Linked DNA regions of Arabidopsis thaliana. The protein of the gene in region 3 interacts with the protein of the main gene of each other region in a pairwise test. Each region holds a gene or a part of one and is shown on either strand. Other genes may lie near its edges. The genes, in order: NAC004, ZFN1, AGL75 and PAP2.

What was found.
Region 1: the proteins of AGL75 (region 3) and NAC004 interact in a two-hybrid assay, tested with the Arabidopsis thaliana proteins (one large-scale study listed by BioGRID).
Region 2: the proteins of AGL75 (region 3) and ZFN1 interact in a two-hybrid assay, tested with the Arabidopsis thaliana proteins (one large-scale study listed by BioGRID).
Region 4: the proteins of AGL75 (region 3) and PAP2 interact in a two-hybrid assay, tested with the Arabidopsis thaliana proteins (one large-scale study listed by BioGRID).

What each region holds. Positions count from the first base shown.
Region 1 is NC_003070.9:432,312-440,349, forward strand, and holds NAC004 (NAC domain containing protein 4), read right to left. Parts: upstream 4,612-8,038; 5' UTR 4,465-4,611; coding exon 4,311-4,464; intron 4,229-4,310; coding exon 3,966-4,228; intron 3,818-3,965; coding exon 3,686-3,817; intron 3,606-3,685; coding exon 3,339-3,605; intron 3,253-3,338; coding exon 3,139-3,252; intron 3,013-3,138; coding exon 2,863-3,012; 3' UTR 2,654-2,862; downstream 1-2,653. Other genes in the region: NAC005 (NAC domain containing protein 5), read right to left, coding at 5,640-5,795, 5,907-6,023, 6,111-6,368, 6,472-6,612, 6,741-7,003, 7,095-7,248.
Region 2 is NC_003074.8:610,590-618,677, forward strand, and holds ZFN1 (zinc finger protein 1), read left to right. Parts: upstream 1-3,182; 5' UTR 3,183-3,485; coding exon 3,486-3,540; exon of another isoform or gene 3,541-3,667; coding exon 3,668-3,825; intron 3,826-3,958; coding exon 3,959-4,021; intron 4,022-4,140; coding exon 4,141-4,260; intron 4,261-4,345; coding exon 4,346-4,585; intron 4,586-4,681; coding exon 4,682-5,008; intron 5,009-5,096; coding exon 5,097-5,327; 3' UTR 5,328-5,556; downstream 5,557-8,088. Other genes in the region: AT3G02810 (Protein kinase superfamily protein), read right to left, coding at 1-2, 106-196; AT3G02820 (zinc knuckle (CCHC-type) family protein), read left to right, coding at 933-1,295, 1,385-1,507, 2,131-2,230, 2,392-2,705; AT3G02840 (ARM repeat superfamily protein), read left to right, coding at 7,891-8,088.
Region 3 is NC_003076.8:16,487,451-16,494,241, reverse strand, and holds AGL75 (AGAMOUS-like 75), read right to left. Parts: upstream 3,699-6,791; coding exon 2,706-3,698; downstream 1-2,705. Other genes in the region: GSTT1 (glutathione S-transferase THETA 1), read left to right, coding at 358-425, 525-598, 759-819, 908-961, 1,030-1,109, 1,189-1,394, 1,498-1,692; AT5G41190 (RNA-binding NOB1-like protein), read left to right, coding at 4,230-4,548, 4,680-5,730, 5,850-6,018, 6,261-6,380, 6,465-6,614. UniProt on the Arabidopsis thaliana protein: Probable transcription factor that may function in the maintenance of the proper function of the central cell in pollen tube attraction.
Region 4 is NC_003075.7:14,320,353-14,328,303, forward strand, and holds PAP2 (phytochrome-associated protein 2), read right to left. Parts: upstream 5,010-7,951; 5' UTR 4,862-5,009; coding exon 4,440-4,861; intron 4,336-4,439; coding exon 4,082-4,335; intron 4,002-4,081; coding exon 3,860-4,001; intron 3,716-3,859; coding exon 3,654-3,715; intron 3,351-3,653; coding exon 3,313-3,350; 3' UTR 2,944-3,312; downstream 1-2,943. Other genes in the region: emb2726 (elongation factor Ts family protein), read left to right, coding at 1-184, 280-604, 679-963; AT4G29070 (Phospholipase A2 family protein), read left to right, coding at 1,757-2,408, 2,556-2,683. UniProt on the Arabidopsis thaliana protein: Aux/IAA proteins are short-lived transcriptional factors that function as repressors of early auxin response genes at low auxin concentrations.

The DNA.
Region 1 (8,038 bases), on a different chromosome or scaffold from region 3:
CGCATATGCAGAGTGAGCGATCACTTGATGAGAATTTTTTGTAAAACGATTATCGCAATTTGAGCATCTTTATTGATGAAATACTTATAGAAAGTTTCTCAAATAAAATACTACTAATATATTTATTTATTTTTTGTTTTGAGAGTTTTACATATATAGGGTTCTCATATATAGATTCTCAATTATGAACCTTTTGTACTAAAAACTCTACTATTCTAGAAACTTACCTTTTTTTTAAAAAAAATGTGTGAATACTATGGATGGAAATGTCTTTAGTTGCTATGAAAACTAATTTGTGTTATTTATACGGTTATACCTAACGTTTCTAGTTATCACAAAAATTAATGGTGTATTAATGTATTTAATAAAGTAAGTTAAGTTGTTGCACAGAAAAGAAAGTGTAAGTTGGGTAAATTGTGTGAGCCAAAAAAGATTGTAAATTGTGAGTTTGTGACGCTGAAGAGTGAAGACAATTCAAAAGGTTATATCTTATATGCGACGGCGTAGGTCAGTTTTGGAATGGTAAACACGCGGCAAGTTTGGTTATCATCATTTGTCACAATCATATATATTTACTCATATAACATACATACATTGCTTTATCGTCATCTTTGGTTCATGAATAAGAAAAATGTTCTCCCACAAAATATCTTTACCCTTTGGTTTATATTTTAGTTTTTTTTTTTTTTTTTTTTTTGTCAACCGATATAAATTAAACCTCAAAAGAGCCAATCCCGAGGGATATTGTTTACATACGTGACATGATGCGGTACGGTACGAATCTTTCGTGCCAACTTATCCGCTTTTACATTTGCACTACGAGAAATTAAAGATAAAGAGAAATTTGTGAATTCTTCCCTATCACTTTGCAACTCCTCCAAATACACTGAAAACGCCGGCCATTCGGTTGGAGAAGACACCATCTTCACCAAGTCTGAACAGTCTGTAAAGAAAGCTACGTTCTGATTATCTGCTCCAATCATGCACTTCATCGCCCAAAGAAGAGCTTCCATTTCGGTATGTAGAGGAGATAGACTTCTACGAACGTTGGCGGCTCCCATGGTTGGCGACTCTCCAAGAGATGATAGACAGAACCATCCTGTTCCTGAGAACTGGTCACTTGCTTTCCAAGATCCATCAATAAAACACCGAAAGCCAGAAAAAGTTGTATCTTGTGATACATCCCTCACCCGAATTCGACTATCTATAGACAAGGAACCATGTTTTTCACTATGGAGCTCGACTTGAGCTTCCTGCCACGATTGAGCCTCTTTTACCGATAAGAGCAATATTTCCATTGGATCTTTATCCACATTTTCAAAAACTTTTTCATTTCTTGCTTTCCATATATACCAAATTATCCATGGGTAAGAAGCCGAATCGACGCCTGAAGGAATTCTCCAAAACAAATGATCCAAATTCGTAAAAATTGAATTCGAAGGAAAAATCCTTGGGGCCGTAGGAATTTGTGATAGTGCCCAAATCTGCCTTGCAGGATGGCATAGAAAAGGTTTATATTTTAGTTTTAATATAAAAAAGAGGGGAAAAGAGTATTTGCAAGTTGCAAGTTTTTAAAATATACATTAATCAAAAGACTGACATATAATTATTGCACTTATCATGTGACAGTTACGCTGTTAATCCCACATTTTTTTTTCTATTTTTGCTCTGTTAAATTCGATAGTTCATTATTTATGTCGAAGCAAACGATGTAAAAATGTAAACCACATATAATGATTTTGTATATAGGAAACTTCGTAGGAGGCGTAGATAAAAGAACTAGACAGCTCCAACCAAATACTCCTCCTCCTACTTAGTAATTTTTTTTGCTAAATACAGCTTATTAGTTCGTTATAAGAGTTACCAAGGAGTAGTAAAGCTAAAGTATTAGCAAGTTGCAATTTAGGATTTTCATTAATTAATTGAACAGTGAAGTAGTGGTGGGCCAGGACATGTTACCAAACACCAACAACGACCAAATCTAAAATATGTGAGCTAATTGGGCCACGTGGAAGCATTTTAATTACACGCGCCGTGCATACTTTTCAACCAAGGCACAGTTTCAACTTTCAACTAAGGCCATAATATTTTCTGGCCATAAAATATTCTTTCAGATTTAGAGAAAATGTTTTTTTTTTTGTTTTTTTTTTAAATTTTAGAGAAATGTTTGGTAACAGTTTGCTGAAATGATTTTGATTTGGATTGGTTGTATTTAGCCAAAGAATCTTGTTCATTATTTGTTAATAAAATAAAAAATCTCAAAATGAGGAAGAAAACAAAAAGTTAGCATCAGTCAAATGGGGTTTGGACTCAAAGATAAAAGTGACAATATGCTGCACGTAAGATGTAGACTAAAAGTCTTATAGAAAACTCTTGACATTATTAAAATCGAAGCATCTTGATTTGATATTATCCTTGTTTCCTTTTGTTGAGAACCTGACATCTTTTGTGGGGATTAGGTAGGACTATAGCCTCAAGGTTGATTGTGATCATTTTCATCTTTTGTCAAAGAAAGTGACCATTTTATTAGTTGTATCGTGTATGAATTGAAAATTATCCAACTTTCTCTTCTCGGACTTCTCATCACAAATTTACCGTTTTTATATATTGGACCAACATAAAATAGGGAAATTTTACACAAAAAAGGATAGACATAACATTTTGGTAGTTGTATTAATTGAATTCATACAACTTTATCTTCTCTAACAACTTCGTATCACAAATCCACCCTTTTTATATAGAGAGAGTACATACATGAAGTCACACAATCTGATCAAAGTTTACAAAACAAGATAGACATAACTTATATTTCTACAAATTTGGAAAAGTACTAAAAGGTGTTCTTGGTCTCATCTATTGTTATCATGTTCTTGAGATAGAATAACATTGGTGAATTTTCTTGACTAATCTGTGTATCATCCTGTAAACGAAACTAGCTCTTTTCTTCTTGACAGACTCTTCACCCAATTTATGCTCTCGAATCACAGTCACTTGACCCGGACCTTGGCTCACCTGCAAAATATATTAAAGAACCAACCATTTAAATAATTTCTCTAATCTGGTCTCAATGTTGTGAGTGGTGAAATTAACAAAGTAACATGATTAGCATTTAGAGTTAAATGAGATAATAAATCTCACCTCTTGAGTTAATGACACTAGCTGGACTGTTGAGTCAGGAGAATGTTGAGTTTGGTCTATCTGATGATTTGAGCTAGCAAAACTAGCACAAGTGCTCGAAGTTCCAATAGAATTCTGTCATATGAAACAAAAACTTTAGCTTTCTGATGTCAAATCTGAAAACAGAGGATTATCAAGATGCAGAGTAAAATTTTGCTTACTGTTTTAGGAGATATCAAATCAGAATCATTATCATCACTGCTATCATCACTGAAGACACCAGTTAACGACTTTAGAGGTGTGTAATCGCTGCGATGATCTTGCATAAACATGATATTCCTCTGCTCATCACCATCATTATTCAACCATGTTTTCCATTCCTCCTCAATCGGTGTAGTTGCATCATCGATTTGAGATTCTCCCTGCACATTAGCAAAGACACCAGACTGACTTGAATTCTGTAATTCTTGGCTGTGAAACGACGAACCCTGAAAAAGGGGAGGAACACTAATGTCAGATATTTCAAAGTTTCTAAAGACAAAACAGAGAAAGTTTGAGATTCTCCCACCTCAGATCCTCCAGAACTGTTCACAAGAGGGATTAAAGAGTGAATCTGTTCAATTTCACTACCAGTAGAAGAAGAAGAGATCTCTGTCTCTTCACCCTTAAACTCAACTTTGCAGACTGTATACGTCATCATCTGTACAAATAATCAAATCAAAACACGATCACCACCACAAAACACCAGAATTAGGTCAATTAACAAGAGAGATAGAAAAAACCCTAGGAATCTGGAATTAGGTCAATCAACAACAAAAAACCCTAAAAGTTTGGAATTGAAAAATTACCTGATTAGGAAACAAGGACGTAGCGTGATACTCGTGCATAACCCAGTCGGTCTTTGAACCATCTCGATTCTTAAAAACCAAAACCCTTTTCTCACCGATCTTCTCACGATTTCCTCTTTTGCGCATGACAGTCATTGTTTTTCCAGTTTTCTTCCAAAACCCAGAGTTTGTTCTTCTTCTCTGTTGATCACCTCTGTTATACTTCATCTCCTTAACACTAAAGAAATACCAAACCCCATCTCTCGATTTGATCATCGACTTGGCTGTGAAAAAAGAGGGAGAGGAAATCAGAGCAAATGATTTCGAATTCGATACAACAGTTTGGGAAAAAATAACTCGACTTACAAGGTAAATCCCAAGGCTCGAAGCTACAGATATCGACTGTGCTAATGACTTCATCGACATGGCTAGTGTCACTATCGAGATTTTTTGGCCGGAGGTAATGGTCGACGATCTCCTCGTCGTTTGGACGGAATCTGAAACCCACCGGATTCATCATTGTCCGAGAGCGACTAAAGTTTCAGATAAAAGACAAAATTGGTGAGAAAAAGTCAAAATATGTAGCAGAGAGGTTTCGCCATTAACGATGCTCTGCAAGTTATGTGTGAGTTTTTTTGTTTTTAGGAGGAAGACGAAGTGTGTGTTTATAATTTTTTATAAAAAGGCTGTGACGGGAGTAAGTGACGTCAACTATGACCAGATGATGGGACCCACTAAGTGGATGACGTCATGTATGATGAAAGCAGGACACATCACACCAAGTTCACATGGCGGCGGCTGGCACTTATCCTAATGACCCCACCATGATTTTTCCAATCCCCACACACTTGTTTTATTTGTTTACACTTTCTGACAAATTCTCTAAATACTCTTTTTCATTCCGTTTTATTTTACCGGATTAATGACATTTTCACATTCCGATTTAGTATAATTTTTAACACGTTTTATAGTAAATACATAGTAAAATCACTTTTTTTAAAAGTCGGTAACGTGGAAAATAATAAAACAACTGGTAAAGAAAGATAAAATTTATCAAATTGAATGATGACGACCGTTAAGACGTTCAAATAAAATAAAAGTTATGATTAGTCTAATGGCGGGTTTTGGGCTTAAACATCTAACATGACAAGATATTCGCGTGGCACACATCTATAAAAGTCCAAAAGAGACTCGTGACATTGCTAGAATTAAGATTAAAGCATCTTTGATTTGATGATACTGTTATTTTATTTTGTTGAACGAAATCTTTTGTGGGGTTAAGTAGGACTAGCTGACTAGATGAGTAGAGGTTGATTGCTACGAAAAATTGTCTATTTTGTTAGGTTGATTGCTACAGCTTTTGATATCCATATTGTATCTCTAGTTTTCTTCCATTAAAAAGGAGGGAAAATCCGAATATTTTTCGGGGATTCTAAAATAAAACAAAACAATACATAATTATGGGAGTTATTATGTCACGTTACTACCAAAAAAAAAAAAAAGATGTGGTTTGACCATTTTGTTAGTTGAATCAAATGAAGTGATACATCTTTCTTTCCTCTAACCACATCTTATCACAAATTCACCATTATATTTTAATATATCTCAGGGCACACATACAATGTGTAAAAGTTACAAAACCAGATAGACACATATTACATACTACTACAGATTTTGGAAAGTACAAAATTGATATCATGTTCTTAGGTGAATTTTCTTGACGAATTTTTGTATCATCCTGTGAAAGAAACCAGCTCTTTTGTTCTTGATCGTCTCTTGACCCAATTTATGCTCACCAATCTCAGTCCCTTGTGCATCATTATCAATACCGGTTCCCGGTGTTTTGCTCACCTTAAATCACATCATAGAACCCAAAATGCTGTGAGTACTGGCACAAAGTAGCTTGGTTAATTAGCAGTTTAGAATGGTTGGTCTTTAAGAAAAGGAGATGATAAAGCTCACCTCTTGAGCTAATGACACTAACTTGATTGAGTTAGGAGATTCCTGCAAGTCAGTGATTTGGTATAGAGGATTTGAGCTACCAAAACTAGGACAAGTGCTTAAAGTTTGAATGGAAATCTGTCGTATTAAACAAAACTATAGCTTTGTGAGAAAAAACTGAAAACAGAGGAGATAGTAAAGGTAAAATAGGAAAATTTTGCTTACAGTTGTTGCAGAAATCGGATCAGAATCACTACCATCGGTGCTATGATCACTGAAGACACCGGTCAATGGCTTTTGAGGTGTGTGGTTGTTGCGATCATCTTGCATAGAAACAATCTTACTCTGCTCATCGTCATCATTAAAGAAGCCTTTGAAATCATCACTCAAAATATTGCAGAAGTCCCTATCTAGTGCATCCACATCAAGAAAGCCAGAAAACTGACTTGGATTCTGTGATTCTTGGCTGTGAAACAACGATCCCTGAAAAAAGGAACAACGTAACACAGATGAAAAAACTATGTGTACGAGATATGATTTTGAAGATTTAAAAGAGAAACAGGGAAAGTTTTTGAGATTGACTCACCTCTGTCTCTACACTCAAAACTCCAGAATTGTTGGTAGGAGGGATTAAAGAGTGAGTATGCTTAATTCCACTACCAGTAGCAACTGAAAATTCTCTCCTTTCACCCTTAAACTTAACTTTGCAGAGTGTGTATGTCATTATCTACAGATCAACTCAGCATAAATGATTACCATAAACTCAGATTTTTCCCGTTTACGAGAAATAAAATCACGGTAAGAAAACAACAACAACAAGTTAAAGAAGCCTAAACAAGAGAATCGAAAAATGACCTGATTAGGAGACGAGAACGTAGCGTGATACTCATGCATAGCCCAATCGGACTTGGAACCACCGTGATTCTTAAACACCAAAACCCTTTTCTCACCGATCTTCTCACGATCTCCCGTTTTGCGCATTATATCCATGGTAACGCCAGTTTTCTTCCAAAAACCAGACTTGGTTTTTCTTATCTGTCGATCACCTTTACCATATTTGTTCTCCTTACGGCCGAAGAAATACCAAACCTGATCTCTTGTTTTCATCCTAGAATGGGCTGGGAAAGACAGAACATGATCAGAAATTACCGGGATGATACAACAGTTGGGAACCAAAGAAAAACAAACACTCGCGTTAGAAAGACTTACAAGGTAAGTCCCAAGGGTCGAAGCTACAAATATCAACTGTGCTAATGACTTCATCGACATGGCTCGTGTTACTTTCGAGATTTTTCGGTCGGAGGTAAATGTCGACGATCTCCCCGTCAGTCGGACGGAATCTAAAACCCACCGGATTCGCCATTTTTCAACAGCTACAAAAAGGTTCAGATCAAAACTAAGAGAGGGAAAGATATCAAAATATGAAGTAGAGAGCTTTCTCTATGGTCGCTCTTCGCCCGCTCGTCTACAAGTTTATATCATAAGAGCAAGTCCAACAAAGGGATTTAAAGCATATCTTAACTGTTGAGAACCAAATTTAAAAAACTACCGCTGGTCATGCTCTAAGCAGGCAAGATGGGTTTGTGCGCTTATATAAGGCACAATAAAGGAGATCCTAAAAAAAAAAAAAAAAAAAAAAATTGAGATCCTTGGTAGATTTCGTCAACTATTTTACGGACAGGTTTTGGACCCCATAATGCAGATGTTGGGTCACATAATTTCTTTCCTACCAGATCATCTTCTTGATACCCTACCCACTTAAGTCAAAGTGCGCTTAGTCATGTGATGTGACAGTTACTCCTAACGTTAACGTCAATGGTTAATTTATCTTGAAGCTTATATAAGATCACAAAAAGTAAACCACATTGAAATTTGTATATAGGAAACTTCGTAGAAGTCGTAAATAAAAAGAACCAGCCACAAATATAAGGATTTGCCGAGTATGGAACATAGCATACAATACAATGTGAATATTAAATTACAAAAGACAAAAAAAAAGAGGGGCGCTTACATATACATTCATAAATTCCTCAGCTCTACATACACACATCTGCGGAGTAGAAGAACCACTTCAACTTGAAAAATGCTATACCATTTTCTTACTTATATAGGGTGTGACTGATAAAAAATGGACGAAATGAGATGAAAAATAA
Region 2 (8,088 bases), on a different chromosome or scaffold from region 3:
ATCTTTAAAAACAAACAAAAAATGATCATTTTTTGTTTTCTTTCATTTTACTGATCGTATGAACAAGGAAAACTAAGAAATGGTACATCGTTAGGAGATAAATACCATCTGGTTTGGGTTCGTTGTTGTCGTTGGTCTCATTCGTAGTTGAAGATTTCTTGTTCTTTGGCGAAGAGAAACACGGAAAACAGTGCATGATGATGATCAAAATCGGTTTTAGCAATCAAAGAGTATTATTATTTGAAGATAAAACAGATCGAAAAGAATTAGATTTTTGGAGTTTTGTTTAGGATTAAGCAATGGTCGGGTCCTTCATGGAGATTGAAGGACCCACGTAAAAGAAGAAACACAAGAAAAAAAATGAAAGGAGAAAGAGAAGAAGAAGATGAAGTTGACAATCCAAACCACCGGAAAATCGATGAAGAAGAGTAATTTTTCCGAGAAAAAATGGACAAAAAAAAAGTTTAGATTTTTTGTAATAATCTCAATCTCTCATAAACTCTTACCTTTTCCCAAAAGCATGGAGAACCATCCTTCTTCTTTCGAATTTCTGTATAACCTAATTTTAAAAATCCTGTAAATAAATTCTCAAGTAATGATCTTGAAGTGGATTAATCTGTCCCACAACACACTAAAATTAATAATTTTTGCCAGTATTGATAGATCATCCCGCTAAAAAACGCTATTTCTGGACTATAATAATACTATTTCTGGACATTATTTGCAACTCTCTGTCTTCTCTACTACGTTACTAATATATTCTACTGGGCTTTAAGGCCTCAAATTACAATATGTTTGGTTCCAAAATTTGTATTTAATGGGCTTCTCTTTCTTTAGGTTTTTATAATAAACCGGGTCAAACAGTACCCGACTCGTCTAATTTTCCCGCTAAAGAAAAAGTGAAAACCGCCCAAATAATTTTCGATGGTGGAATGATAAAAGACCTAAGAGGGAGAAAGAGAGATCGAAGAGTGAAATCTGAAATGGAATCAGCTCCGACGGGATGCTTCAAGTGTGGTCGTCCCGGTCATTGGTCTCGTGATTGTCCATCATCGGCTCCGGTCGCCGGCAATAATTCCGTTTCTTCTTCTTCCGCTCCATCTCAAATCCCTAATAATGAATTTCAGAGATCCTCCAGTAAAAGTGGAACCTCAATAGCTCCTGCTCCTAAAGTGACGAAGACGAGAGTTCAAAGGCCCAAGCTAACTCCTGAATTGTTACTCTCTGAGGATGGTCTCGGCTATGTTCTTCGCTATTTCCCTAAATCCTTCAAGTATCGTGGCCGAGGCAAAGAGGCAAGTCTTTTTTTCACCCGCAGATTCGTTTAACAGCGGTTTTACATGTTACAGTGTGATAATTTGGATAATATGAATAATTTTTATAGGTGAGCGATTTGGGGAATTTGATACGGTTGTACAGTGAGTGGCACACTCATTTGCTACCTTACTATTCCTTTGATCACTTTGTGCATAAAGTTCAACAAGTCGCTTCTACTAAGCGTGTTAAGGTACTACATTGCTCGATCCACTTTTTCTGTTTTTGTAAAGCGTTCTTCCTTGTGGCAATTGTGAATCTATGAATCCGGATTTAAAGGTTGAAAATATTCCGATGATTGTATTAAGCAGTGGTTAGTCTAGATTGCTGTAATCAGAATTACATTGTTCGTCTCCTTGTTTGATGTTCACTCATGTGTTGCTTTCAAGTTGCAAGATAGAGGATCTGAGTATTTGTTAGGCTGTTTTGGTATATGATCATTGTGCTCATATGTTAGTCTTTACTTGTGTAACATACTTAGGTTCTTCCAGTAACTAAAAACTATATGTTCACTTGATGGCTATGTTGCCTTTGCGTTTATACTTGATCTGAATCCTGCTGACGGGCTAACATCGTGAAACAAATTATATAGGCCAGAATGACATTGCTTGTCTCGTTCTTTGGTGATCAATCATCTGTTGCTTTAAAGTTCGAATTACTAGACTCTGAGGCTGTGTTAGGTTGCTCATACGTTCTTTACTTCCCTAACATAGTTAGGTTCTGCCAGAAACTGAAACTATATATTCACTCAATGGCTATGTTGCCTTTGCATTTATACTTGATACATTGATATATACTGATGTGTTATCCTTTTAGAATTGTATAAATGAACTGCGAGAAAGGGTTGCCAGTGGAGTTGATCCAAACAAGTTATACGAAAAGCAGGAAGAAAATACTGTTCCTTCTGATGATCAAGGTATGTCAAACAGATCAGCTTTTTTCCCTTGAATCTTCTTTTAAGTTTAAGATATTGATACGAAAAGGAAACGCTTCTTATGTGGCTGCATAACACTTAAGTTCAATATCTGTTACATTACAATCTTGTGGGTAATGAATAGTCTTCTGCTGGTAATCTAGATATGGATCAGCCAAGTCATGACGAAGAGAACATACCATCAAAGAGCGTTGATGCTGATACAAATGCTGATGCTTTTGAAGACAGTATGTTGAATGAGATATTTGATAATGCTTCAAAGTTACCGAGCGATGAACAAAACATGGATAAAAGCAGTGAACTGACAGAAGAGCAAAGAGCACGTATGGAAGCTAATAGATTGAAGGCAATGGAGAAAGCTCAGAACATTTCCGAGGAACAGAGAGTACGTATGGAAGCTAATAGGCTAAAAGCTCTCGAAAGAGCCAAAGCAAGGCTCCAACCAAATCAAGATTAGACTAGAGATGTTCAATTTGAATTTTGGATTGAAAAATTTGTGCTTTTGAATGTTTCAATTAGTTATCTAATAGTAACAAATGTGTGTCCGAAACTAGAACATATGTATGGATGTCTGGTCGTGTGTTAGTTTCGGTTGTGGATCCATCAAACCCAATATTATGGACCGTAATTTGTTCCAACCCAAGTTGATGATAATTGGCATAAAAGCTCTTTATTGTTTGGTAGATTTGATTTTTCCAACAACTAAAATAAATAAAAGTTGTATATTCAAAAAAAATTCATAATAAATGGAATGAAATAACCACATAGAAAAGGACAAAGATAATAAAAATTTCTGACGTGTTCTCTACCGTCCAATTTTGGTGGAGAAGATAAAATAAAAATTGTCGCACTCTAGTCTTTACGAAAATAGAAAAAAAGAAAATCAGTAGGGGCATATTCGTCTACGTACATACACAAACTTTAAATTAATTGATTTTTCTCAAAATTTCTTGTTTGATTTGTGTGGAGGTGAGACGAGAACGCTTTTTTGCTTTTCGTCTTTCTCTCTCTCTTTCTTTCTTCACTACCTCTCACCTCTCTGTTTACACGATTCTTCTTCTTCTTCTTCTTCTTCTTTAGATGTCTTCTTCCTCCATTGTCATCTACCTCTCTACACTTCATTTTCTTGTTGGAAGAAGATCGATTACCGGTGACTCATTCTTAGTGATGACAGTATAATGTCTGATGCTTATTATCATCATCATCATCATCGGAGACATTCTTCCTCTTCACGTCTATGGATTTTAATGCCGGAGTTCCCATGTCTTCTCTTTCACCTTTGATGAATCAAGGTCCTATCAATTTCTTCTTTCTTTTCTCTGTTTTGATCGGCAAATTTTGGTTATTTGTTTTGTTTTTAAACGGATTGGGTTTAATCTCAGTTTCTTCTTCTTGGTTTGGGTTGTGGTTTATGATCAGATGCAATGTGGCAAATGAATTTGAGTTCAGATGAAACAATGGAAACTGGTTCTTACCCTGAACGACCAGGAGAGCCTGATTGTTCTTATTACATAAGAACTGGTCTTTGTAGATTTGGCTCTACTTGTCGGTTCAACCATCCTCGTGATCGGGAACTGGTACGTTATGGTTTTTGTGTTCCTCTCTGTGATTTTGGAGTTTAGAGATCTGTCTGGTCGGATTATAATGTCAAAGCTTTTGCCTTTTGGAATTTTGTTTTTGAGCTCTTCTCTCTCATTGTCCAATTTCTAGGTTATAGCTACTGCAAGGATGAGAGGAGAATACCCTGAAAGGATTGGTCAGCCTGAATGCGAGGTAAGAATCTTTGGTTTGTCCAGTTGTAGATGAACATTTTGTCAAGGTTTGGTAATTGAGTCATCTTCTTACACAAACTAACTTAACATTTTGTGGTGTTGTATGTTTTGGTTGCGCAGTACTATTTGAAGACAGGAACCTGCAAGTTTGGAGTAACATGTAAGTTTCATCATCCAAGGAACAAAGCTGGGATTGCTGGAAGAGTCTCTCTCAATATGTTAGGCTATCCTCTACGCTCGGTATATTTGACTTTTTGACTTGCTGATTTCATTACTTCTCATTGTTTCATCATCTTAGTGATTCTCTGTAATGTCATATATGCAGAATGAGGTTGATTGTGCTTATTTCCTAAGAACCGGACACTGTAAATTTGGTGGTACTTGTAAATTCAACCACCCTCAGCCTCAACCAACCAACATGATGGTTCCTACCTCAGGGCAACAGTCTTATCCTTGGTCAAGAGCTTCTTTTATTGCCAGCCCTCGTTGGCAAGATCCGTCTAGCTACGCTTCCTTAATCATGCCTCAAGGAGTTGTCCCGGTTCAAGGATGGAACCCTTACAGTGTAAGTTTTCTAAACAACATTGCTTATACTCTTCAGACTTTATATGACTTGGTTTTGATTTCTGTCGAGTGTTTCTCGGGGTTTCCATTTCGTTAGGGTCAGCTCGGCTCAGTTTCTCCTTCAGGTACCGGAAATGATCAAAACTACAGAAATTTACAGCAGAACGAGACAATAGAGTCAGGCTCTCAGTCTCAAGGATCATTCTCGGGTTACAATCCGGGATCCTCTGTTCCGCTAGGAGGGTATTATGCATTGCCGAGGGAAAATGTGTTCCCGGAGAGACCAGGACAACCCGAATGCCAATTCTACATGAAGACAGGTGACTGCAAATTTGGCACAGTTTGCAAATTTCACCATCCTAGAGACAGACAAGCTCCTCCTCCTGATTGTCTCTTAAGCTCCATTGGCCTCCCCTTACGCCCGGTAAGCTCAAAGACTTGTGCATAATTACTTGGTTCTCTTCGATTAAATCTCTGCATTGTTTGATTTTTTTTCTTTCTCAAAATGATAGGGAGAACCGTTGTGTGTGTTCTATACACGCTATGGAATCTGCAAATTTGGTCCAAGCTGTAAATTTGATCACCCAATGCGAGTATTCACATACGACAACACAGCTTCAGAGACAGATGAGGTAGTGGAAACATCAACAGGGAAATCTAGAAGACTCTCTGTGTCTGAAACAAGACAAGCAGCAACAACATCCTCTGGTAAAGACACTACCATTGATAATACACAGCAGTGAAGAAACAAAGGAAGAAGAAGAAGAGCTTTTAAACAAGAAGAAAAACAAAAGCTTTTTGATTTTTCAAAAGAGGAATCTGTAAATTCTCATTTTCATTTAGTCTCTCAAGCATTTATTAATAATGTATAGAGGTGATTTATACAACTGATCTTGATCTTGATCTGATCGCCATTGTTGTAATATTCTTTTGGCGAATCAGGTTCAATAAAATTGAAAGTAATTTCCCTCATATTTGGCTTTGACCATGTGCATTGGTGCGATTAAAATATTTCGGTAAAATCAAACCCAAATGTGTTAAACTGGAGCCTTGTTTTTTCTTCAACTCATAGGCCTTTTAAAGGTTGGACCTACCGTAGAAATAAGTTGGGCTATAAATAAAGCCCATATTAAATTAAAACATTCTAAACCCAATAGTTGTATAACCGGCGTCGTTTTGTGCTTAGTTCCATCGGTTGCCCTAAACCTCTCTGTATAAACTTTGCGTTTTTCTTTCTTCCGTTACCTCCATATCAGTTTTTAGGGTTTAGTGTTACAGTGGCGGAGATATCTTAGTTTGTGTTGGTGTTTTCTTGTATGAGGTCATCTAACAAAGCAAGATAGGTTATAATTTGTACCAATTTTGTGTCGGAAGATGACAAGATTAGTTTTATAGGCCTCCATGGGAATTTCTTCATGGAACTCTTCTCTTCCATGGAGTTGCTCTGAGGAGGTTACACTTCCATAGTCGTATGTATTTATCTATGTCCGAATCAAGCTCGTTGATCAAATCATAACCTTTTGTGTTAGTTTTGTTTTTTTAACACTCTGAGCTACTGTTTTCTGGTGTCTGATGAGATTCGTCATCCTTAAAGCAAATAGGTTATAACCTCTGTGCCAAATTTGTGTCGGAAGATGACAAGATTGATTTTGCCTCTCCATGACAATTTTGCTTCATGGAAATCTTCTCTTCCATGGAGTAGATCTATGGAGAGGCACATCATTGTGCAATTGGTAAATTCGTCTGATCGTTTTTTTATATGTGTTTCTGCTTTTATTATCGGGAGAACATTATTACAGCAAGATTTTGTGTCTGAAACAAGAGAAACGATTGTCCATTGATACTTATAGCAGTAACAAGCGAAAGAGTCTGTAAATGATACAGAGCATTCTTTGATATGATTATCCAAAGAGGATCTTATTGATGAAGAGTCTGTAAATTCTCCTTTTCCTTATTTATAAAAGTCCGTCCTTATTACAAAGCCGTAGAATGAATTTGCAATGTTGAAATATGGATGAAATTTTGAAACTTGATTCCTGGCGATAATTTGTGCTTTAACTGAAGATTAGGTAATTTTCAGCATTAAGATAGTTTGAGAATTCATGGCTACGATGATTGAACCAACTGGCTTATGTTTTACCTATCTGCGTTAAATTTCGTGGTAAACTGAACCGGGATGTAATGAATCCGGTTTTGGTTTGATTTTTTTTAAATGAAAATAACTTTCTGTGGATCTTTTAATCGAAAATAATATTGAACGTTACATAATTGGGTGAAAATTCGTATTTATCAGATATTTGGTTTTGATCGAATCTTCGTGTGGTTTATCTTAGATACTCGAACTTTTAAAGCAGTGTATGAATCTACGCGTAAAATATTTAATGTATTGAAGTAATATTGGAAAAACAATGACGCGGGGAAAAGTAAACAAACACGGACCCGACGACGGATAAGCGACCAAGCCCGAGTCGCATCGTCTTGGTCTTAAGTCTTTCCCTACTCGTTTTATCATTTTCTTAAACTAAAAACTAATTTAATCACTCTTAATTATTTACTTTTTTCTTTTAATTCAACTATGACTAATTCTTATTCACAGAATGAGTCTCACATGCCTACTCGTCGTACTCGACTCCAGTCCAAATGTTCCCATACTTGTAATCTATACTACATATATTATACGTCATCGTCATGTATATACAAGACTCAATATATAACGTCCAAATTAATCAAAGATTTAACATGATCGGGAACCAATATCTAATCATCGATTAGATATATTTAAGTCTAGTAACTAATTAGTATATTTTCTACAAATTGTTTAATTAAACATATAGTATACAGTTGGTAAAGGGGAAACACGCGTAATCTATATGTATATATTAATAATATATAGTTCTTGGTATGATCTTCTTAGTTATTTATTTACTAAGCTTTCTAGACTTTAACAATATTTGAATGAAAAAAAAATTTAATTAACCGTCGAAAAAAAAGTCATAAATCTGGACGCAGAATACTAATCCACAGATTTCAACGGTCAACATTCCAATTCAGTTCACAAACCTAAATCAAACGTTCCATTTCATACCTTTTTTCTCTTTCAAGCTTATACAACCTTTGACCATGTCTCACTTTATTAATAAGTACAAAACCACCTTACATTACATGCATATATATAAATAAAACACGTTAAGGAACATATATTTATACAAATCCCATAAACCCCATTTCATTCTTCATCGAATAGTCGAAAAATATTTGAACTTTCTTAGGAAACCAAACCAACAAAACAAAAAGGAAAACGAGATAATGGTGTTACCTTGGAGATCAAGAGGAGGAGTAGCAAAGAGACGTAATCAATTGATTTCCGGCGATATCTCCGTCGTGGAAACCAAGATTCCAGTTCAACTCCGATCGCCATCAAGGATAGAGCGGATTCAGTCACCGCGCGTGCTGTTGACGCCGCGTGATGCGGTGGAGATAAGTCGGAGATTGCAAAACGCAGCG
Region 3 (6,791 bases):
ATTTCATTAACGTCAACTTTATGATACAATTTTCAACTTAATGGTATTTAGTTCTCTAGATAACCAAAAAATGATGCATCTGTTTCAAAGAAAAACAAAAAAAATTGTGATCTCAAGTCTCAACTGGTTCTGGTTAAGGGCCGGTTCTGCCTTGTAATTGTATTGCTTTGATGGTGAAGAAGGAGCAATTAGCCTAACCAACCGGTTTAGAGAGGTCTTTGGTCACAACAGAGAAACAAAAACGGCACGGTGTTTTACTCTCTACTGTAGAAACAGCAAGCTACTGTAGAGACACTTCTCTTCTTGTCCATATTATCACCACCGTTCAGTGATCCACAAAATCAGACGAAAAAGAAGATGATGAAGCTCAAAGTGTATGCAGATCGAATGTCACAGCCATCACGTGCTGTTATCATATTCTGCAAGTAATTTCGTTGAACTTCCTTGTTAATTCCAGATTCAGCCAATTTTGTTTTCTCTAATACATGAGAATCTTTGTTTTGTTTGGATTTTATCCTTTGCAGGGTTAATGGAATCCAATTCGATGAGGTCTTGATTTCCTTGGCGAAGCGTCAACAATTATCTCCTGAATTCAAAGGTTCGTACAAATAATCAACAAAGTTTCAAATCTGAGTATTGGTAGATTTATGTTTAGTGTATATGAGATCATTAGTGTAGATTAGTGTAGACTAAGGCTATATATGCTTAGTGTTGTTTCTTAATGTAAATATTGTTAAGAAATGTGTCTTGTTCTTCAGATATTAACCCATTGGGGAAAGTTCCAGCTATTGTTGATGGCAGGCTTAAGCTCTTTGAGAGGTTAACACAAAAGTTCATTCTCTTTTGGGTTCTTGCTTTGGTTTATTGACCATTTTTTATGAATCTTAACCGTTGATTCTTTTCGTAGTCACGCAATCCTGATATATCTATCCTCGGCGTTTCCAAGTGTTGCTGATCATTGGTAAGTTTCTACTTCGTTTGACACAAAGTGTAATCATTTTGCTTTGATGTTCATTTGTTTACTTTTAGGTATCCAAATGATCTATCCAAAAGAGCCAAGATTCACTCAGTTTTGGATTGGCATCACACCAATTTACGTCGTGGTGCAGGTATTGTACATTATATTCATCGATGTTGAGAAGTTATAGAGTCAAATAGTTCTGATTACGGTTGTTTTTACTGTTGCAGCTGGATATGTTCTGAATAGTGTACTAGGTCCAGCTCTCGGTCTTCCTCTGAATCCGAAAGCAGCTGCTGAAGCTGAGCAGTTACTAACAAAGTCTCTGTCCACTCTAGAGACTTTTTGGCTTAAGGGCAATGCTAAATTCTTGCTCGGAAGCAACCAACCATCTATAGCTGATCTCAGCCTTGTATGCGAACTTATGCAGCTGCAGGTACTCACTTAATTTCACTGTTTTGTGCGTTTTTTTAATTCATCGAAATACCAATCCTTGCTATGTTTTGGCTTTTGATTGTAAAATTTATGCAATTTTGTAGGTTTTGGATGACAAAGATCGTCTTAGATTGCTCAGCACTCATAAGAAAGTTGAACAATGGATTGAGAATACGAAAAAAGCAACAATGCCTCACTTTGATGAGACCCATGAGATCCTTTTCAAAGTCAAAGAAGGATTCCAGAAGCGGCGAGAGATGGGAACCTTATCTAAACCGGGTCTTCAATCCAAGATCTAAGAACTTAGAACAAAACTTTGGCAAAACCGGTTTCAGGGGTCAGTCACTGGTTCGTTGAAGAAAAGCCGATTATCTCCTATTCTCCATTGTAAGAAAAATAAGGAATGTAATAATCACTTGTTTTTTGAACTATATGTAATAATCACTTTATCAAAGGTTTTTACCGAACCCGAGCATTTTGAACATCACAACATGAAGGTTTAGATTTATATGTAAATTATAGTTGAACCAGCTCGCAGTTTGTGCTGTCCATCTCACTGGCTTACTTCCTTTGGGCCTTAGACTGTTAGGATCGTTTTTAGCTGGTAAAGGTCGAGAAAAGTGGGTAGCTGCACTGCTAAAACTCAAAGGAAAGCAAGGTGGAAATATAATGGAAGTATGGAAACTTATGGAACCATCAGGAGATAGAGGCCAAGAGGGGTGGGAAACTGCAGCTGACATAATGGAAGGGGAGGGACTATCACAAGATAAAGGTCAAGAGGAGAGGGAAGTTGCTGCAGAGTGCAGACATTATGGTAGGGAAGGAATCATCATCACAAGACAAAAAATAACAGTAGTGTGAAGAGTCACCTGCACAATTTATCTTTAAGCTTGCAAACATTAGTGTCCAAACACCACCCCCACCCCCCCCCCCACCCCACCCCCACACACTGTTCTCATGTTTACTGAAACTGTAATGCTTATGTTGTTCCGTTTAATAAACATGCGATGATTATTATTTCTTAGAACAGAGAATCACTGAAACAGGTTTGAAAAGAGAGGATGTTATATCTGTGAATAGAAAAGACAAAGACAAAGTGGAGGAATCAGAACTCAGCCACGGTTATTGCTCTGTTGAGAGTCTATTGGAAATTTGGCTTTATTATGATAGAGAGCAATCAGAAATAGATAAAATTGGCTTTTAGTAATTAATGTTTCTAGGGATGATGATTCAAATTTATTACAATAGCTGAATACAGATCAACAACAACACATCAAATTGATTCAAGATGTTCTTAATAAATCATAAGAATTTAACAAAAGCCTGCATAACCGTAACCGTAAAGTTCATTCTGCATTAACTGATTCAACCAGGGGTTCTTCACAGATTCTTCTACCGCCGAGTAATGTTGTGTGTTTGAGACGCAAGGATTTTGAAAGCTGTTGCTATTGATGTTACCCATAGACATGTTTTGATCACAACCATAAAACTCCTTGTACATCAATTGATTCAACCCAAAGTTGTTGACAGATTCTTGTACCGCTTCTTTGTTTGAGACGCAAGGATCTTGAAATTTGTTGTTTGTGATGTCACCCATGCTCATGTTCTGATTCTGATCATAACCACAAATCTCCGGCTTCATTAACTGATTCTTCAACTCAGATTCTTCAAGTAACGCTGAGAAATAATCCTGATTGAAATTTGATGCAGAGACTGGGATCTGAGACAGAGTATTGTCTCCATGGTTATACATAAACAGCGAGAACTGGCTAGGGTTCAAAGATTGGGTGTAATGATTCAGAGAGGATGGTGTTAAACTCTGATGATCCGGTTTTGTCTGATTCTGTTTCTGCGACTCAAGAAATCGAAGCCTTTCTTGGAATTTAGAGACATGGAGTTCCAAGGACTGAATCAGTGGAGAAACTTGGTCGGGAGGGTAATGATCAGCGAGTGGATACTTTAAAATATTCACGTTCTTAAGACTCGTCTTCATCTTCTTGTTCGGATTCTTCAAACCCTTGTTCTTCTTCTTGTTCAGGAACCCATGAAGATTAACGCTTTTCTTGCGTCTCAATGCTTCGTTCAATAGACTATACCTAAGAGCAATGTCTCTCACTTTCTCTTTCTCCTTAGGCCATGTCTTAAGTTCTCCGTCTGGTCCGTAATAGATAACGCAGGCTTCGATATCACAAAGAGTGCAAAGCTCTGAAGCTTTCTTGAAGATGGTCTCAAGCCTATTGCTCAAACTTGTGAAAGCGAGTGAATAAGAAGAAGAGGACGAAGGTGAAGATGATCGCATAGTCATCTTCTTGTTGATTGCAAAGACAAACTCTGTGTTTTTTCACGCTCAAAGTTAAGAGAAAGCACGAAGACAAACTTTGGCTTTGTGAAAAAGATGATGAACTATGAAATAGTTAGAAAGAATTAGATATATTTATAGATGATCGGTGATAAAAAAACGCGTAAAGATGTGTGCATAGATAGATTCGTTTCGATTTCCATATATTTGCATAGATTCGATTTCCATAGATTTTACGTTCTAGAGCCGTTAAGGGTTGATAAAAAGGAAACACAACTATAATTTGATATCATTAACCCTTGATATGATCTAGTTTGGTTTGGTTAATACTAGTCTTCAAATTCTAGCTCTAATCAGATAGTATTTTATACATCTACGCAATTATTTGGGCCTTGTGAGGCCCATTTAAAATTATGGACAAAAAGCGACGTCGTCTCGGATCTGACCTAGGTTTTTGTTTACACTCTTCTTCTTCTCTCCATCTCTCAGTCTCTTCGTTAAACCCACCCACATTTGAAGCGGCAAATAACGAAAACCATGGATCCGAAACCAACCTCGATGTGGAGCTCAATTGTGAAGAAAGATCCACCTTCAAAGCCTCCGGTTAACGACGGAGCTCCGGCAGCGATTCTCGGGATGGTCGGAAACTGCAAATCCACAAAAGGAATATCTATTGCGGTTGTTGACGCCAACGCCATCATTGAAGGACGTCAGAGCTTAACAAACTTCGCCGACAAATTCGTAACTGTCCCTGAGGTTCTCTCTGAGATTCGTGACCCTGCTTCTCGCCGTCGTCTCGCTTTCATCCCTTTCACTATTGATACCATGGAACCTTCTCCTGAATCTCTAAGTAAAGGTACACTTATTAGTTTTGTGATTCTTATTCTTGTGATTGTGAAATTTGTACCTAAGTAGGTATTTGTATATTCTTGTGTTGGAGAAAAGATTGTATTGTATCTCTGAGATTGATTGTTTTTGGTTCTGCAGTTATCAAATTTGCAAGAGCTACTGGTGATTTGCAATCTCTGTCTGATGTTGATCTGAAGTTGATTGCTTTGTCATACACGCTTGAGGCTCAGGTTTATGGCACCAAAAATCTTAGAGATGTTCCTCCACCGATTCAAACTGTTAGAGTTAAGAGATTACCTGAGAAGGATTTACCTGGTTGGGGCTCCAATGTGGCTAACTTGGAGGAGTGGGAGGCACTTGAAAACGAGACTGAGGAAAAATCCAACGCTAACTCCAAAATCCTTCCATTGAAAGACCTTAACATGAATATTATTGCTTCAGACAATGTTTCTGAGGTTGGTTCTGTTGTCTCTCATACTGAGAATCATGAAGAGGATGTGCAGGAAGGTGGGAAGAAGCATAGGCGATACCCGCCCAAGAAAACAGAGATTAAGCTTGAGGGTAAGATGGTAGTGGAGGGAGTTGATGCATCCCAGGGGCAATATGATGATGATGATGATGCTAGTGATTGGAGACCCGCAGTCAGTAGAAGTACTCACTCAAAGTATCTTAGAAGAAAGGCAAGGTGGGAACATTACAATGCTTTGGCTGAACAAGAAATTCAGAAAGATCAAGAAGCTGACAAAGCTCGACACACTAAAGAGGCCAATGAAACCCACGCAAAAGATAGTGGAAAGAATGGTGAGGATATATCTTCCATCCTTAAAGATATGAGGTTGGAGGAAGAGTCATTAAGGGCTCTCCAAGAAGAGACTGAAGAGACGAATGCTGAAGCAACTTTGATCAATGGTGAGGATGATATTGATCATGATATTGAAGTCGAAGCTGAGGGGATCGATGTTGCAAATCAAGCGCTAGAGAACTTGGAGATTGCTAGTGAGGCTGAGGATACCTTCGAGGCATCATCGATTGGAGATGATGGTAGCAGCGAGCAGAGTTGGTCATTGAGAGCTTTATCTGAGTCCAGTGTAGCTTGTATAACTGGTGACTATGCAATGCAGAATGTTATTCTTCAAATGGGTTTGCGATTGCTTGCACCCGGCGGAATGCAAATTCGCCAACTGCATAGGTACTCTAAATTGATCAGATCTTCCTTTTTTTTGTTCAAATGTCAGACACTTTTCTTTAGCAAGGGTCATTAACTGAAAAAGATACAATTCTTACACTTTATTGCATTGACATCTTCAGGTGGATCTTAAAATGCCATGCTTGCTACACAGTAACTCCTGAAATTGGAAGAATCTTCTGTCCCAAATGTGGGAATGGTGGCACTCTACGCAAGGTAGCGGTTACAATAGGCGCGAATGGCGCCATCATAGCTGCATGTAAACCACGAATTACACTTCGAGGGACCCAAGTAAGTAACTTGTTATAAGCAGAAGCTAACCAAAACACCAAAAATTCCTGTATTAGTGAAGAATCTTGTATTCTTTATTTGAAATAGCATGAGAACAGAACCACCATGTTTTCCGGCATGTATATGATCAATTTGTCATTTGTTACTGCCTTTAAACTTAAACCCTTGTTTCCTTTAAAATCTGCAACCTAATACACAGATAAAAACTTCTCCTGATACATGTGTCTTTTCTTTCTGTGCAGTATTCGATACCAATGCCTAAAGGAGGAAGAGAGGCAATCACCAAGAATCTGATTCTACGGGAAGATCAACTCCCTCAAAAGCTTCTCCACCCTAGGACCAAGAAGAAAGCAAGCAAACCGGTTAGTCTCTTCGTGTCTTCTATCTCAAACTCAAATCTGTAACTTTGATTGAAATCTTAAGGTAAATTATGCTGTTGTTTGCAGGGTGATGAGTACTTCGTATCAGATGATGTGTTCTTGAACCATCATAGTGATAGAAAGGCGCCATTGCAGCCTCCTGTGAGAAAAGCTATGTCGGTTTTCAGCCAGAAAAGAAACCCTAATGACAACCATTACTCTCGTTCTATGCACTGATCTTTGTTTCTCCTACACAACAAACATCTCCTGTACTTCAGATGCCAACGATTTTGTCTCTTTTTTGTACTTTTACTTTTTCTTTCTGATTGTTGTTTGAAGTCCAAAACTAGTTTGAAAAGGTGAGAGTTTATAACTTTTTATTCGGTTCACAGATGTATTCCTCTAGTTTCAAGC
Region 4 (7,951 bases), on a different chromosome or scaffold from region 3:
TAAAGCAGAGGATTGCAACCATTGGAGAAAACATCAAAGTGAAGAGATTTGTGAGGTACACTCTCGGAGAAGGCCTTGAGAAGAAAAGCCAGGACTTTGCTGCTGAGGTTGCTGCCCAAACTGCAGCTAAACCGAAAGCTAAAGAAGAGCCAAAAGCTGAAGAGGCCAAGGAAGCTGTTGCAAGGTGAGAAATTTTTTATAGTCTTTGCTCTTCTTGACATGAATTCTTATAATGTTGGCTATAGAAAGATTCAAACTTTTTGCAATACGGCACTGCAGCCCACCAACTACAGTGGTTTCAGCTGCTCTTGTAAAGCAACTGCGTGAAGAGACAGGAGCTGGAATGATGGATTGCAAGAAGGCATTGGCGGCGACAGGAGGAGATCTTGAGAAAGCACAAGAATTCCTCAGAAAGAAGGGTCTCTCATCAGCTGATAAAAAATCAAGCCGGCTTGCATCAGAAGGGAGAATCGGTTCGTACATCCACGATTCTCGGATTGGAGTTCTGATAGAAGTGAACTGTGAGACTGACTTTGTCGGAAGAAGCGAAAAATTCAAGGAATTGGTTGATGATCTTGCAATGCAAGCAGTGGCTAATCCACAGGTAAGAAAATGTCCTCAGCTGAAACAATGGCATAAATTGGTTGTTGGTCTCTGACCTGAAATGTCTACGTGCAGGTGCAATATGTTTCAATAGAGGACATTCCAGAGGAGATAAAGCAGAAAGAAAAAGAGATTGAGATGCAAAGAGAGGATCTTTTGTCGAAACCAGAGAACATAAGGGAGAAGATTGTGGAAGGAAGAATCTCAAAGAGGCTTGGAGAATGGGCATTGCTTGAGCAGCCTTACATCAAAGACGACAGTGTTCTGGTGAAGGATCTGGTGAAGCAAACAGTGGCTACTCTTGGGGAAAACATCAAAGTCAGAAGGTTTGTGAAGTTTACTCTTGGAGAAGATAACTGATGAGACAGACGAAGTAAAGTTTTCAAATAAGGGAGCTCTGTTTTGTGTCATGGAGTTTAAAGTAAAAGTCTTCCTTTTTGTTTTGTAGACAAAATCTTCAGTATTCACATTTTGATTAGTTTTTAATCAAAACCTGTAATTTTTTGTTCATGAAAATATGAGATTTGCATTATATAAATGTGCATTTAGTGACAATGTGACATTATACACTAAATTCGGAGAAAGATTGGTTATAATGAAATTTTAAACCTTATTTTAAATAGAAGTTTCAAATGAATTTCCCTGAAGAAGTGAAACTAAATAAAATAATTTTTTGTTTCCTTTTGGATATTATATCTAAATATAAAAATCAAACCGACCGAATTACTACATACACTACAATAATGTTTTTTTCCTTTTATAATTTGTGGGCTAAAAAAGGTCGGTCGGCCCATTTTGAGCCCAATAAAATTTAGGGATAGATAAAGACATAAAGTAACGAACGATATTCCGAGGTTGTCATTTGCTAAGGAAAAAAAAAACGAAAACGTGTGTCTGTCTCTTCTCGTAGCGTCTCTCAAGCTCAGGTTCGTGAACATTCCAATCTCTCAATGCAAAAGCTCATTCGAATTATCCTTCTCTGTTATTTTCGAGATCCGATTTACTCTTCTTTACTAGTCAATTCTAGGGTTTTGAGTATTGATCTTTCGCAATTTCGAAATTTTCCCAATTTGAAAAGATAAAAATCTTCCCTTTTTGTCTGGATCACACTTGATTGCTGAAGTCATTGCATGCACTGTTTTGTTGTTTACAGATGAATTTTGGGTTGCCAAGTATATCTTGGTTTGGTAGCATCAGCACAAAGAAAGATGTAGCTATGATTGATTCCGTGACACCAACAACAACTTCTCTATTGGAACAGCCAGAGCAAGAGAAAGCAACAACCTTTCTTCTCAAACAGCCAGAGAAAGAGAAAGGCTTATTTGATATAAAGATATGGACTTGGTCCTCCTTCAGTTCAGTTCTTCCTTGGTCTGCAAATGCCTCTGATGGTAAGCAGAAACCCACTACTATCAACAGAGGGTTAAAAAGGCATGCTCTTTCTCGGAGGTCATCAAGATCAAATGGTGTGAATACTGTTTATCGGTTTAGACCTTATGTGTCTAAGGTTCCGTGGCATACAGGGACGAGGGCGTTTCTGTCACAGCTTTTCCCGAGATATGGACATTATTGTGGACCTAACTGGTCTAGTGGGAAAGATGGAGGTTCGATGGTTTGGGATCAGAGACCTATTGATTGGTTAGATCATTGCTGTTATTGCCATGATATTGGTTATGATACTCATGACCAGGCAGAGTTGCTTAAAGCTGACATGGCGTTTCTTGAGTGTTTGGAATCAAACAAGCGTGTAGTTACTAGGGGAGATGCTCAAGTTGCTCACTTTTACAAAACAATGTGCATTACAGGTAACTACAATCTCCTTATGCTTTTATATCAATGTGGGATTATTTCATAATTTACCTTATTATTCAGGTAGTAATATTTGATAATGGCCGTTTCCATTTGGTGATGTACTGATGTATCTTGAAACCATCTATCTCGAATGCTTTCAGGTCTCAAGAGCATACTAATACCCTACAGAAGTTACCTTGTGAAGATACAATACGGGCAAAATCTACTCGACTTTGGCTGGATAGTGAGCAACCTCAGCAAGAGAAGCTGGAGTTTTCAGAAAAACTGAGACATAAGGAAGTATATCGGAGGTACTCTGTCATCCCGGTAAGCCTTTGTGGGTGTCTTCACTTTCGTTTTGTACATAGAAGTCATAAAGAAAGGAATCTGAGGATTAGGTTCTTTAGTAGTATAGATATATATGTTTAGTATGAAGATGTGAAAACGCTAGTAAGTGTTGTGCGTCTTGTAAACCCGTTGTACATGTCTAGTAATAAACCCTTGTTTTTGAAGTCTTTTGTTTGAATGATATAAGCTCTATCAAAGGATCATTATAACTTCATTTCATGGAAACTCATGAACTAGAAAAACTATTTTCTATAGTAAAGTTTGCATCCAAAACATATATAACAATGAAAACCACATCCGGTTTACACACTACCAAAACTTTTATACATATGAATTATGAAGTCTTCCTTGGCAAACACACATACACAAACCCATATGTTTCATTAGATTGATTAGAGAAAGAAGTAAGAGGAAGAGGCCTTATTAGAGCTTAGTAGAGGCTGGTTTAAGAAAGATCAAACATCACTCCTAGCACACAAACACACAAGAATACTTCAAAACAAAATGGCTATTCAATTTCTTAAAAACATATTTTTTCAAATCATATATTATCACATAAAAGGGCTTTTCCTAGTTCCTGCTTCTGCACTTCTCCATCACCCTTGGAGCTGCAAAAAAAGAAAAAGCAAGATTTGTGTATGAATCATTGTGTATTCTTCATTTGTACAGTAGTGTGCAGTAAGTTCCTAGTGTTTAAGAGGCTTGGAAAGGACTAAATTGCATCGTTTTAGTTTCTCCAGTAATATATTTCTTTAGCTTCAGAATGTTTATAGAATCCAGCGAGAAGCTTAAGAACCATGAAAGTATTAGAAGGGTGTCTTAGTTCAAAATGGACCACCTTTCTAATACATCTTAAAATCGAGCACATGGGTGTGGAACATTAAACTAGGGTTTAGTAAAGAAATACTAACCTAAGCCGATAGCCTCAGAGCTCTTCATGATTCTCAGCTTCTTGCAGGAGCATATAAACATTCTGCAGAGGAAAAAACAGTAAGAGAGCTTCACTGATCTATATTCTTCTGTTAAGCTAAAACTGTGCTAAGATCATTAGATATGATCTAATACTTGATGTTAATTTACATTGTTGAGATTGATCTTTTAAAAATCAAAGACTTACTCCCAAGGGACATCTCCGACCAGCATCCAGTCACTGTCTTTATCTTCATAGGTTACAACATACTCAGAACCACGCAAGAGATCAGTCAAGCGACTCTCGTTTAACCCATCTCTGCCACACCCTCCATGAGAACCAAACTGACCTGAAAAAAGGAACCAAAAGAAAACAGTTAACTCAATCACTGGTATTGATCTCAAAGAAGGAGAGACTAGAAAACGTTACCAATGGTGAAGCAACTGAACATCTTCTCAAGAGCAGAAGAGAGCTCAAGGTAGCTTTTGTAAGTCTTGAGATCGATTTTCCTCAAGTAAGGAGCACCTTCCATACTCACTTTGACATACAAGCAAGGTTGTTCTGGTCCAGACTTAGCTTCTGCTTCTTCAGTCTCTGAGTTATTACCAGGTTTCTGAGATTGAGAAGAAGCCATTGAGTTCTTCCTGAATGATCTTATTGGTGGCCATCCCACCACTTGTGCTCTGCTCAATCAAAAAAAAAAAACATCAAGAATCCCTCTTCACAGAAATCATAAAACAGAGCAAAAAAGCTGAGAAAAATCTAAAACAGAGCAAAAAAAGCTTACTTTGAAGCTGGAGCTGTAGCAGAGCTCTTCTTCTCCTTAACCGGAACAGCCGGTTTAGTGAAAGTTGTCGACTTTCCATCTTTAACGACGGAGGTACGGGGACCAGAACCCGAGCCGACATCACCAGTAGCAGTAGTGGATCCAGGAGAGAAGACCCATTTGTTAGAGTCGTTAATAGCGTCGGAGAACACCCTTTTGGCACCTGACACGGGACAGCTACTCTTGTTGAGAGCCAAGAATCTTGAGTCGACTCGCTCCGGCGACTCAGAACCGGGTAAACCGAGTCTTAACTCGGTAGCCTTGAAATTGAGACCGTTGTTATTGTCTCTGGTTTTGGTTTTGTCAGACATTGTTGTTGCTTCCATGGTTGGAAACTCTGACAAACCTATGTAATCATGCTCTGCTGCTACAGATACAGACATTTTTTTCAAATATAATTGTGGACAAACTTTTGAAGCATTTAGTGATTACAAAAGAAAAAAAGAACAGAACACTTTCTGAGAGAAATGGGAAACAAAAAAATTTAAAGATGAGATCAAATTGTGAGTGAAAATGAGAAATGATAAAAAGGTGTGTGAGAGAGCTTTATTTTTTTTTATTTTTTTACCTTTAATCTTCTTTTTTCTTGGAATCGTATTATTTTCCAAAAGTGGACGGAAGTAGTATACGTAATTTTATATTCATATAAACCGTAATTAGAAGTAAGTACTTTCCTCTTTTGGCGGGTTTAAACACAAAATGTTGATTTAAGAAAATGGTACACATGAATGTATTGTATATACACGTTACGTTTTGTGTAGACATCTACTCCCCGACAGGTCACAGAAAGCGTCCTGAAACCTTTCCTATTATGCCCTTGTCTCGACTCTCGTATTCCACGTTTTGTTTTACTTTTTACTTTTGTATTTGAAAAAAACAATTTGCTATCTCATGAAGGTGTGCATGTTATGCTATCATGCAAAACGATTTAGTATCTAAAATACGCTTTTGTATGCAATTCCTTTTTGATATATGTATAGAGATGTTGTAATGAGTCACTAATTCTGTTTAGTTTGGCTTAACATTATATGTTTTAGATTCACTAGACGATTTGATATAACTCATAAGTTAGCTCGTGAAACCAATCTTTACTCATGAAATTGAGTGATGATAATGATAATCTAATAACGGTGAACCATTTAATCATGTGCATGATAGCATAACATATTCTATAATAAATCAAACGTATTGGAGTTTAAACTTCACAAACTTGTATAAATTCACTAGTAGTTTAGCTAACGAATGGAGATTATTAGTAAGTCGCCAATAATTGCGATGGAAGATGATATTTAGGCTTGGGGGTGAGAACAGAGAAGAGAATCTCGAAAAAGTTTTGGGCCCATAGGCTCTCATTTTTTGGGTCCACCAGAAGCATGAAAAGAGGAAAGAAACAGTAGGGGTAGCTCTTTGCCACTTAGCCGCAGTAGCAATATTGAGCAGTGTTCCCAAAAAGAATTGTGGTCTCCACACTCCACTTTTCATTTTTATCAGACAATGTTTTCCCAAAATCGAGCATATATGCTACAGTACATTACAATTTGACCTATTAGTAAAACTTTGATACTTGGATCATAGTCTTAAATTAATAAAAGTTTAAATGATCAAATCAGATTTAACTTTGATAGTATTTATGCCCATCTAATCTATCTCCAAGTATATTTTTTAAGTGGATGACTCAATCTACATTTAAACGTTTCAACTCATATTTTAACCCATATTTATTAAACCAATATATCTGATGCTATAACAATATAACATGAGAAGAAGTATATGAAATATTGTCATTTATATTCTACCAGTGATTTATATATTGTTTGGCTGTATTGATTAAGTCATTCATTTGTAACAACGATAAGTATATACATAGCAAGAAGACATACAAAAAAGACCTGTAAGTTGCAGTATTATAAAATATCATATGCATAGTAATTTGGTTAAAGCCTGCCTCTAAGGTGGATCCATCTTTGGATCTTATCTAAAGCTTTTTAGATTTGTGTTTTAGTGTAAGTTCGAGTGTCTTAATCATAAGGTGCCTTTCTTTAACTTTTCCTTTGTCTCTCTCTTTTTTTGGGCAAGGTTTTTGTCGTTTTTGGGACATCTCAACTTATATTCCACCTTAACTCACCATCTAATCGTGCCATTAGTTACTTACAAAGCTATCTAAGGATACGAATCTTTAGTAAAAATGTGTCTATCACTATAGAAATCATATGAAGGCTATAAAATCTAAAGATTAGTTGGAGTTACCCAAAGTATTTACTTATCTATATGGATGTTGCATCACATGTGGCGGTTTTAATTATTGTTATTATTATATATGGCCACGTTGGGTTTACTGTATTAACAAGAGACATCATAAGTAACTCTAGGGTTTAATTATACTAGCGAGAGACAGCTTAAGTAACTTAAAATGTTGGTTTTGAATGTTTGTTTATAGACTTGTGTGAGCGACAAATACATACTATAATTTTATTTATTTTTAGTACTGATGTTATACTTAATGTTTTTTCATTTTTTTCTGCTTTTCATCAAGCATAATAATTATGACTATAATTGAAAACTATGTAGTTAGTTGAGGATCGAATGGAATTACACTAAACCTAAAATGTTAAATCAGTGGACGACCGTACTTACAGCGTTAGTGAAAGATCGGTTTGTGTCGTAATCGAAAAAAGAAGAAAAAAAAAGAACAAAGAGACAGTGTGAATCTTTAGACAAAGAAGCCACTTACCCTCCTTGATTTAACATCCATACAAGAACCTCATGCTCCATTATAACTCATAACCTACCATATCGAATCAATCCGATGGCTATAAATGATTAGATCGATATAATTTTTTAACCTGTCATCAAATTAGATCGATATAATTTTTTAACCTGTCATCAAATTAAACCGCATAATGGTAACTGCCGGTTTTGTTTTTCTTATGCGGTTATTAATTTCGGCGCTGTCTACATATAGAACACACACACATATATATAATATTGGATCGTTTGGTGGCTGAGTATAATCTCTACACACGCCCTCATATATATATACTAGATAAGGCCGCCTAAATAGGCGGATGTATGATATAAATTTATTTAAATATTTATCAATAATATTTAAACTTTATATAGTAAATAGTAATCTACACACTTTTTCTAATATTTAATATAGTAATTTTTATATTACATAAAATTTTAATCATACACATTCAATTTTACTTATATTTTAACTATCTATTTCATCATAATAAACTATTTTGTTATTTATAACATAAAAACTACATTCAAACACTCTGTGGAAACGACATCCCGTTTATATCCTCTGACAATGTCGGACTTACAACTGTTGGACAAACATCAAATAAATATAAACCGAGCAGTAATTAAAACGCATAGTTTGCTAATCCATTCACTATGCGATTAGTTTTACTATACACATGAGTAACTCGGATTATGCAGTCCCTATACACTCCATCTTATTAATG